Linked DNA regions of Arabidopsis thaliana. The protein of the gene in region 3 interacts with the protein of the main gene of each other region in a pairwise test. Each region holds a gene or a part of one and is shown on either strand. Other genes may lie near its edges.

Evidence for each region.
Region 1: the proteins of NAC020 (region 3) and WRKY72 interact in a two-hybrid assay, tested with the Arabidopsis thaliana proteins (one large-scale study listed by BioGRID).
Region 2: the proteins of NAC020 (region 3) and AT2G33550 interact in a two-hybrid assay, tested with the Arabidopsis thaliana proteins (one large-scale study listed by BioGRID).

The regions. Positions count from the first base shown.
Region 1 is NC_003076.8:4,902,669-4,906,427, reverse strand, and holds the start of WRKY72 (WRKY DNA-binding protein 72), read right to left. Parts: upstream 2,139-3,759; 5' UTR 2,003-2,138; coding exon 1,919-2,002; intron 1,556-1,918; exon of another isoform or gene 1,525-1,555; coding exon 934-1,524; intron 819-933; coding exon 705-818; intron 407-704; coding exon 1-406.
Region 2 is NC_003071.7:14,209,936-14,213,694, forward strand, and holds AT2G33550 (Homeodomain-like superfamily protein), read right to left. Parts: upstream 1,759-3,759; 5' UTR 1,553-1,758; coding exon 964-1,552; intron 876-963; coding exon 831-875; intron 556-830; coding exon 245-555; 3' UTR 47-244; downstream 1-46. UniProt on the Arabidopsis thaliana protein: Transcriptional repressor that binds DNA and plays a negative role in regulating microbe-associated molecular patterns-(MAMPs, e.g. flg22, elf18, chitin, and LPS) triggered immunity (PTI) by negatively regulating immune gene expression.
Region 3 is NC_003070.9:20,279,335-20,283,093, forward strand, and holds NAC020 (NAC domain containing protein 20), read right to left. Parts: upstream 1,619-3,759; 5' UTR 1,556-1,618; coding exon 1,399-1,555; intron 1,247-1,398; coding exon 978-1,246; intron 861-977; coding exon 381-860; 3' UTR 173-380; downstream 1-172.

The DNA.
Region 1 (3,759 bases), on a different chromosome or scaffold from region 3:
GAGTAGACGGGTTTGATGATGTTGATGAAGTAGAAGAGAAATTTAGGCTTGTAGATGGGAATCTTTGGAAAGAGTTCGAGAATTTGTTGAAATTTAAAGAAAGCAATGAAGAAGAAGACGAGGAAGAGTGTTGTGGAGCAGTGAGGTCTAGAGTGACGGTGGGATGTAATGGGGAGTGAAGGGTGGGTGAATAGAAGGATTTGTTGTTGTTGTTGAATCTTGAATTGTCGTAGAGGTTATTTCCGATCATTTCAGCGGCTGGTGAGGAGGAGGAGCCAGAGAGGAGCATGGAGGCAGCGGCTGATGTGGTGGAAGCCATGGTGGTGGCTGAGAGTGGAAGAGAGTGGCTGTGTGTTCCTTCATAGGTTGTGATTAGTATAGACATGTCATCTGCACATCTTTGGACCTAAAACATACATAATCGAGGACAAATAGTTAGATCGTTTCTTTTTATTTGTACACTGGTCACAAATGTTTCTTACTTTCTATAATACCATGGAAACGCAAAGGCAAACGCAAAAAATAAAATAAACTGAATGATACATTTTTATCTTAAATTATGTTGTTCAGTTTAAATTGAATGATACATTTTAACAACTAAAATCAGATCCAACTCAAACGGAAATGAAAATAAAACCAGACGAAAAATTCAAACCGATTTTTTATTCCATTCTTAAATAGACTATATAGAATACGAAATATACCTGTTTTCTAACGGGACATCCAGGTGCAACCGTGCAGCGATAATATGCTCGTGGACATGGATTTCCTTTCGCAATCTTTTGTCCATATTTTCTCCATTGACAACCATCATTCATCTATACAACATAATTAATAAACATGTCCGAATCAACATTAGTCACATATAAATAATCAAATCTTTTAATTAACGTTATAGATCAACTTATTTAATGTATAATTTAAAGGACGTACCGTTGGTGTGTCACATCTTGCTCTAACACAAACTCTAGCTCTCTTAACATGGTTTTGTTGACCGGCCTCACCGTCAGCATCGCCACCGGAGGCTGGTGCTGGAGAGCTTCTCTTCCCCGTAACTTTACCTGGCGCCCAAGCTTCTTCCGAGCCAGAATTTGCACGATTCTCCATAGATAAACCCTCTTTCGGTTCACCTCCGTTGCCATTATTGATCCCTAAGGTCAAGCCGGCCTTAGTCAACTCTTCGTCAGCGTTGACTTCTGCGCTGATTGCGTCCGTTTTCTCTTCCTTTTTGGGGACGCTATCACTTGGGGAAGAACTTCTTCTCCCTAGTGAAAGCGATACAAGCTCGCGTTCTTGGTCAAAAGAACTCAAATCCGTCGTCGTTGGCTTGGGATGATCAACCATGTTTTGATTTTTAGTTGCGGTGTTTGAAGGTTCTTGTTGAATTATGTCGAAGAATCTGAGCTTGAGAGATTTGTAATCACTTTCAATTCGTTCGAGCATTCCTTTAAGCTTCTCGTTCTCTTCCTTCACCTCGCTCATCTCTGCCTTGGCAGATTCAAGTTCTTGATGATCACCATCACCCTGATTAATATCATTGAATAAAAAAGTTGATTAATTTCTCAACTAAATCTAAAAATGTTCTTTATTCTAAGTTTCTAACACATCATACTTCCATTCTTAATTCTAACGAATTATTCAATATTTCTAGATAGATAACTAATATAATCTTCCCGTTTCCATAAAAAAAATGAACATGGTAGAGTTTTGAGTTTTTCTTTTTAAACCAATTACGATAATAAGAAAAAAGAGAGAGGCCATTATAGAGTGGAAGAGACATCTCAGGATACAAGAATTACGTTAAAGCATAAAACACACCGATAAAGAATAAGAACGGTCAGTTTTCTGGTTTTGTGATCTAAATTATTTCCATATACATGTATAATTTTGTATATGCACATATAGAGTTGGTATTTACCTTATTAGCTTCATGGATTTGAACAGATCCAAATTTATCCTTAAGAGGAGACTCTGAAGAGGGTAATTTCAAAAGAACCTCCATTGTCAGAAATATCAGAAGATTTTCGTCTTCTTCTTCTTGTTTGGATTTTCTTTTCTTTTTGTTGTCTGTTTTTTTCCTTCAGAAACATATTATCAAACCCTTTACTTATAGCCATTTGTGTTTGTGTGTAGTTTCTTCGAGGGGACCCAAAGCGTCAACACTTCAACATGTTCAATTTTTTTATTTCATTTTTATTGAATTTCAGTACCTTTTCCTCCAATCATATCTGTGTTATTTATTTTAAACTAACTAGCGAAAAAAGAAATTATTTCCTGACTTTGTTGGTAATAATACTACTTCTCCGTTTAAATAGGGTCAATTAAAAAAAATATTACAACTAGTACATCGAAAACGAATGATCAAACTTAATAGAATTCCTTACTGGTATTTTGTTAAAAAACATATAACACAAATAAAATCAAATATTTATAACCATATATACGTGAATCCAATAATATTTAAATTAAATCTAATGAAGAACTTTTAACATGATGAAACTGTGATGAATATAACAGAAAGTATAAACTTCCTTCTCATTAAGTGAAAGTGTAGGTAAAGTCTATATGGATCTTGGTTATCAGATCAGAGTATTATTTAAATGTCCAAATGCATTAAATGAAACCAATACTTACAAGAAAGAGCCTAAATGTACGGCGTCAAATAGAGATTCTATAATGTGAAAGGATATGTCCTTGAAGCTTCATGGGAGAAGACTTCTTCTATCTATTGGCCTCACATCAAATGAGCATTCGTCAACTCTCTAAAACTTAATATTGTTTCTTTATCGAGTGTATTTATTAGTCCTCCCTCATCAAAAACATGTTTTATATTCCAAATATCTACAAGTTTATACATCCATAGACATAACATTGAATTAATCCATGTGTGATAAAATTTCTGATTGATAATCGAAATGATTTTGCTCTTACCATTTTAGTGACAAAAATTGCCATTTTATCGTATCTTAAGTTCCGTTACTTCATTATTTAGGGTTTCTAACGTTTTTGTTCTGTAAAAGTTTCGAGTATAATTCAACAATAAGTCATTAAGAAACAAATCTAAAAGTCAAATCATGCAACAAGAGAAAGGAAAACAGTATTAAGCATTTGATTATTGTTATATATGTAAACCTTGTTCATATGGTAGGCCAAAGGGTGCGTATACTGGTCAATACGCAGGTCACACACGGTAATTATATGATTTTGTCAACTATTGACTTTGTTATTAAGGAAATTAATCCTTTTTTTATGTCCCAATGCTATTATCATATTCCTGTTACATCTTGTTTCATTTTACAGCCAACATACGAATGTCAAATGCTTCACATAGTTGATAGTTGTCAAATTTCGTCAGTGACGTAACGCTGCATGGCGTTGAAAAAATAACATGCATTTTTTTTCCGTCAAAAGACACTATTTGTTCTATTCTCTTATTTTATATTTATTAATAATTTAGTTTCAACTCAAGATATAACGAAATATATTTTATCATTATCTATAGTTATACGCATATATATAAGCGTTACTCGAACACAAGTATGATAAAATTTCGAAGAGATTACATTAAGTAGCTAACCATTTTCTTATTAATGTATAAGCTAGCAAATTGTCGTCTTTCCTGTCTCCAATTTTTCAAACCGGGCAATTTATTAGTTCTAATTTCAAATCAATATTTGTATGGCCCGTATTATAAGAAACAAATGATTTTTATTTTTGATGGCTCAACATTTAAAAAAATTATTTCGTGAATGTGATTAA
Region 2 (3,759 bases), on a different chromosome or scaffold from region 3:
CTCAATTTCATGCTATGCAACAAATCATCAACACATCAAGATGTTCAAATCAGTCAAAAGGTAACACTAAGGCAAATGATATCCTAAACCCGTATAAATCTCAATGTTTATATAAGATGTGTATAATAACCTCTTGTGGTGGCATCAATATTCAATCAACAATGGTGATAAATGATTGAAAAAAAAGGAAGAAGAAGAATGAGAAGTAATGGCCAAAGTGATATACAACTAACTTTTACTAAATCTACATCTTATCCGCGATTTTTGCCACAGCATCAGCGAGCTTATTGAGAACAGCGACTAAGCTATCACCGTGATCTTTTCTTTGCTCTCTGTCTAGTTTTAAGTTTAAATTCTGAACCTCAAGCTGTGCCGCCAACAACTGCCCGTTTCTTTCTAGTATCTCTATCAACTGATTCTGCATCTTCTTTGTTTCTCCTTCTTCTTCTTCCTCTTCCTTTTCACCAAAAGATGTCCGTTTACGCTTCCTCTCTTCTTGTGATGTCGATCCACCTTCCACGTTTGCTGCTTCTGGCTGTTTCTCTTTCACTCTACCTTCAAGTTCAAACTCAACATTTTAGTATAAAAACAAGAACATAGAGACCCTTCAACATAAACGAAAAGATCACACACCATAGGGAAGATTGTTAAACTACTTTTATAACACAATTTGAGATGCATTTTAGAATACGAAAACATCATTTATCTACATGACAACATAACTACATAGTCAAGACTCAAGAGAAACACACTCTAGAGCTCTAAAACTAGTTTGAGATTAGCATATAGAGCAATAGATCAAGCAAATACACACAGAGAGATAAACAAACCTTGATCTGCTACACAAGCTTCTTGCTTCTCTTTGTCTATAACATCTTCATCAAAAAAATTGAACTTCATAAGAAATGGAATCATTCTGATGAACATACAAAATAAAAACTTAAACTTTGATCTGAATTTTACCAGTAACTGATTTAGCCACCGGAGTAGAATTCAACTTCTCAGGACTTTCTCTCCGATCTAAATCAGACAACAATCCCTCGTCTGACGCCGGAGCCAATCCAAGCGAAAGAACCGGAACCGCCGGAGGAATCACACCACCGTCAACAATATCATAAACCTCCTTATCGAAAAAACCAGGAAGCTTCTTCTCTCTACGAACATCATTCCTCATAACCCAATAGGACTCAGTCTCTTCCTTAATCTGAGACTCCCATTCTTTAATCTTCTTATAATCTCCGGCGAGATTGCTCCATCTTTTCCGGCACTGAACCGGCCCACGATTTACACCGTGACGTTTACAGTAAGACGAAACAGAAGCCCATTTAGGCTCCATTTGACCCGACCCGAGAGCCATACCCGCCGCTCTCCCTCGCCGGACTCTGTTCTCCGCCACTCTCTTCCCTTGAATCAGAACCAGAATCTCTTGTCTCGTCCAACGAGGAAGTCTCGCCGTCTTAACGCCGTCATCTCCACCGTCATTTGACGGCGCGCTACTGTTCTCTCCACCGTCAACGGCGCTCACTCCTAATCCTAACTGTTCCAGAGCCATTCAAACGGAATATTCCTTCCCGTTTTGATAATTCCGTTCAAACGGGTTCCAGACTTAACGGCGTTATGGTGAGGACATCCCGTTAGCGCCGGAGAGAGAGAGGAGCTACAAATGAAAGAGCAAAGAAAAGATTTATTTTGTGAGATAATGACTTTTTAATGTATCTTAATCTGATTTTTAATTTGGTGACTGTAGATAAAATTGACCCTTGTGTTATCATTTTATTTTAATTTCGTCCCTTAAGCCTTTCATAAGGTTCATGTAGATATGTTGAATTTAAGTAGACCGTAATCTTTAATTCCTTTAGACCGTAATTAGGGATTACATGCTTGATATGGCTATTTCCTGATTTTTTTGACACATCACTTTCATCACCTCATTTTCTACGGCCAAGATCACTCTAAAAATAAAATCAAAAATTATCTTTTTCTTATATTAATAATAAACTGTATTTATTGTTTATGTAATAAAGATAATGCACATATAATTTTCATATTTGGTAATATTATGATATGGTTGTGTGTAAATATGGAGGGGGCGTAGATTATGGCAATAAACGCGCCCTTTGAGTATTTCTATTGGTTAATTTCTCTCCAACTACCATAAGTTGCTTTTACTCCATAATCCTTATATATGCGTTTTGGTCAATTTCCTCCGCCATTTATTTTTTTGGATTTTTCTACGTTTTTGTCAGCTTAAGATAATGACAATATTAGTGAGTCTCTGCTTTAATAACCTAGTGATCTTTAAGAGCCCTCAGGGTTTTTGGGAGTTCCATTACAAAAAATGCTATAAACATTGTAGAAGTTTTCAACAGTCACATATCATAATTAGTAACAGTACCCTAAATCATTTAAATGATTAAATGGGTTTTGGGACCCTTTTTGTAAACTATTTTTTGTTGCAATAAACTCTGAAACTATCTTTTGTTGGCATAATTCTGAGCCTACTTAAATGTATAAACAAATCGTAGCTAACCGTTCCTTAAAACAATGTAGACAATAAGACAACATCATTATGAAAAAGCAAATGAATGACGAGAGAAGCATGAGGAAAGCTTGCTGACGAGTAGAGATAGATATATCAATATATTCACTTTTGAGGGTTTAAAAATAAGAAAAAAAATCATGATAAAAAAAAGTTTGTTGTTTAAGGTTTGTAAGAAGAAAAGAAAAACAGAGATATCACTACTACATGTTAAGGTTTATGATTTTTGACAAGTAGAAAGAGAAACTCTAGAGCTCTAGAACTATAGAGCAAAGTTTTCTATGAAATAGATCAAATCCAAAATGGAGATATGATTTATGAAACACACATGACTAAGGGTAAACATGTATAAATCAAATCAAGATTAAACCATAATGTTCTTTGAGATGGAGAAAGAGAACCAATGCCAATGTTTTGTTCAAGCTTGCTAGTAAGAGGACATGAAACTAAAGCCAATAAAATAAAAACCAAGAGACATCGATACCGTAAATACCATTTCTGTTTGAATATAGAATTTCATCTTACGCATAGAATTTGTTTTTTGTTTTATTAGAAATCTTGACTCAGTCGTATAAATGTTTAGCTACGTACTTAATGCAATACTTTGCATTAAAGGGAACCCTTAAAACCCCTAAAGGGTAGATTGTGAAATGAAATGATGCCCCTACCACTAACACCAAATAAAATTCCCAAGTTTTTTTTTTCATTTGCCCTTGTTTACCACTCAAAGTCTATCTCCAAAATCGCATCATTCGTTTTTAATCATTAATTTAAATGGCTATTAATGCTTGATTATGTTTTATGCCCCCTCCCATCCGTTTAAAGCCACTTTATTTTCTATGGAAGAAATGCCCAATGGATTGATTATCTTTTCTAGTTTGTACCCATCCATACGTATCCATTGATTTACAATGAAACTCTAGAATTTTTCTAAAACAAAGGTACGCTAGTTGCCTAGACGACTAGACCAAAAAATTATTGGGATCACAAAGTCACTTGCCATATAAACCAATGACTTGGCCACATTTAGGGCATTATTAAAATGATTCCTTAAGTTTAATCATAAGTGGTAATCTAGGTTAATTAGTGGAAATTGATATAAAGTTTTTTTTTGTAGAATGATTACTTTAGGAGAAACAAATCATATAAGGATTGAAACAAGACAAGTCACATTAATTTCAAAACATGAAAGGCACATCATGGTACATAGTAGGATAGTA
Region 3 (3,759 bases):
TATAATCCGAAAAGTTTTCCAAATTTGCGTTGCCATGACGCCCATGCCAGATTTTAAGTCTACAAGTATGCAAACCAATAAGTAATGTCGATCGATTACACAATTTTTACTTCCGTTTTCCCTCCTATATATGACAAAACCAACCAACTCTAGTGATTAAGTACCATACACACCTAATGATAAAAATTAAAATAAAATAATGCAATTTCTTTTTGTGGTAGAAAAAATAATTCCACAAACCTCCTCACCCTTTTTCACCAGTCAAACTAATTCATAAGCAAAAAACAAGTAAAAAAAAAAATACTATATATGAAGTACCCGAGTATATTTAAATAAGTTGAGAAAAGAAGTACTAGATGATAGTATGAGATATGGATTTATCAAAGGGAAGCGGGGAAAGTGGCGGAAGAAGAGAAGATTTCGTCAAGTGTCCCGTTCATAGAGTCTCTGCATTGAAAGTCTTGTTGGATTGACATAATCTCTGCTTCGTTCATAGAAAGTTGAGGGAAATCTTGGAGTTGAAGAGGAGGATGATATGGAAGCTGATGAGAATAGTTTGAGAAAAGATGATCATGATCGTCCAGAAGAGAAGATGAGAAATGAAGAGCAAATATGGATGAGCTGTTTGCTTCGTCTAAAAGGACCCCTTGAGTTAGCTCTGATGAAGATGTCTCCGCGGATGCTCTTTTCAAGCTCTCGTCTTCAATATAATTACCATCACATTTTCTCCACTTCTTCTCCTTTTCTTCTTCCTCTTCTTTTCCTACACTAGTGCTCTCTTCTTCTGCTTCTTCTTCTTCCCCTTTTCTCTTTGGAATTTGTATGTTCTTCTTAAACACTCGGCACAATGCATACGACTCCTGTTTTAGATCAACATTAATATTAGTCGATATGGTTTATCAAAAAAAAAAAAATTAGATCAGAAATGAATATAGATATATATGTTAATAGAAGTTTGTGCATGGGAAATAATTTACCTTCAAGGAGGAGGAAGGAGCGTGCGTGAGACGATATTCATGCATGACCCAATTAGTACGAAGGCCATGAGGAGCCCTTCCTCTATAATAAACCAGTGTCTTCTTCATTCCCATCTTCATCTTCTTTGATTCTACTGTACGATCTTTCCCCGTGGCCTTCCAGTAACCCGCTCGGGTCGCACGGTTCGTCCTAGAGCCATTTGGATACTTCTTATCCCTTGTGCTGTAAAAGTACCATTCCATGTCGTTTCCCGGCAAAAATGACTTTTCTGTTCCGCGTATTATCCAAATAAATAACTCATAAAACCTCCAATATCATATGTATGAATGCATCATGACCAATATATGTAATCTATAACGTCAGATTGACATAAACAAGCTGAACCATATATAGAGAGAGATATAAAGAGTTGGATCGTACCAGGCAAGTCCCATGGCTCGCATTTATAAAGATCAACTTCTGGGATGATCTCGAGCTCAATGGCTTGGCCGTTGACCTTCCTATCAAGATAGTAAGCCACCAGTTCTTCATCAGTGGGATGAAACCTGAATCCTGGAGGCAAACTCATGGGCGCCATTCAAAGTGTATGCGTTAGAAAACGAGAGAGAAAGAGATGAGAGAGATTAATTAAAGTGATTAGGATGTTCGTACGACATATGAAGGTGACTATATATAATTAAAAAGATGAGACTCTGAAGAAGATATGATATGGGAATGTGTAAAAGTATGCCATGGGATTGGCATCTTCTGAGATTAATATTTTGTCTTACTTTGGGTTGCTTTTTGGTCAGTGTTTGTCATGATACTCATCACACATATTTTCTAAAACCAATATATATATTTTAAATAAAAACCTAACTCTGGCTTTTGAAGATTCTGCAAGTGTGAAAACCCTAGTAGGAGGAGAGACGGAAAAAGCTTTAGCAAGAAGGCCCCATCTCACAAATACTCACATATATGAATGTATATGCTTATAATTCCGGTTAGACCTTAACGTGGGTCATGAATCATTATAGAGGGATTTTTATAACGTTTGCTTTAAACCAAAAATGAAGGCTTTTTATGATTCAACAGTTTAGGGGACCCATCTCTTCTTCTCAAACCAAATCTACCTGGCGACACCTAAACACTCGGCTTTTTCTTTTCTTTTTTTTTCGGTTTGACAGTTTTGTTATATTGTTTTATGTTGTTATGGTCTTATAATAAGAATACTTATAAATTGAATTCATATATATGATTAAAAAATGGGAGAATAAAAAAGCAGGAGGCATCCAAGTCGACTTTGGCTTTAGTGTTGGGAGGCTTCTTTAGTCCCTTTTACATATGGATTAAAGACGTTGTTCGGCTCTTTTACATCATTACTCCCACACAATCTTTGACTCTCTTTCTCTCGGCCCTTCAATTTTACTAACTTCCGGTCAAATCTCTTTTGCCTCGACTCTCGGCCTCGATCCAAAAGATAAATTAAAAAAATAAGGACATCTTCATTCTTCACATGTATGATATATATAACTCATGTCATATATTAGATGTCTCGTTTACATGGTTTTTTTTCGTTTGCTAATATATATAATTCACATGTAGACGAAGAACATTGTAAACGGAATTTAACAGAATGAAGTAATCAAACGTTTTATGTAAGGAAATGATCAAATACTGAGGGAGTCCACAAGTTGCGACATATATAAAACTCCTCCATTCTTATAAAGTATAATATTCAAACTTCAAGTAAGTAACTCTCCCTTTTCCGTGAGAAAGAAATAACAATAACATTTTAGGGAAGCTTTAAGATGTGGTCACCAATAACTTAGGGAGAGAGAGAGAGAGTGACAGATACAAAAAACAAAAGATAGCAACTGAAAAATATTTTGGCGAAAGATGCTTTAACAGTTTAACTTATCAAACGACAACAACAAGACATGCCCCAATTGTTTCACCACTTTGTTTTTCTTGGTCACAAATCGAGTCTAAGTCTATATGAACAAGTAATTAATGTGAGTACTATATATAAAAAAAAATGTGACTATATATATAAATGTTGTATCACAAATGCAAAAGGAATGTGGATTAATTAATTAATAAAGACAACGAGGAAGCTAACATGCAAGCCTAACTAAAGACATGCAACCTTTGATACGATCTAAGGGGAAGCGAATAAAGCTAATTAAGATCTAAGCATCTTATCTTATCAACCCTTTTATATTTCCATTTCACATGTATCAAGTACCTATACTCTTTCTCAAGCTTATAGTATTGATATCTAGAGTATCAAATAAACATTAATTAATTAGACGTAACACAATAGTGACATTATTAAATGAATAGTAAACAAACTTTACGTGTATATATATCCATGACGAAATTGGCAAAGGCGGGACTCTATGGGGGAATCATGATAATACATACATACGATATACATGTTGACATGTATCATGTATCATGATAATACATACATCATCCCTTTTTTGTTGGTTTGTTAATAAAATGATCATACATCATCTTAAACATCAACATCAATCACAATTCTTCTAAAAGAGAAGAAGAGTCTTGTTCAGAAAAAGTAGCATCTGATTCCCTACATGTCGGTTTCCAAAACATATTTTTTTTCCATCTCATATTAGTTTGTGCTAAACAAACTGATCCAAGGAAAAAAGAAAAGCCTTTAAATAATACAAGTTGGAATCCCTGTGTCTCTAGAGATTCTTGCTTTCATGTTTTTTCACGCATCTCAATTATAGCAGAAGAACAATGTCACTGTCCAAAAACATTTGCGTTATTTGC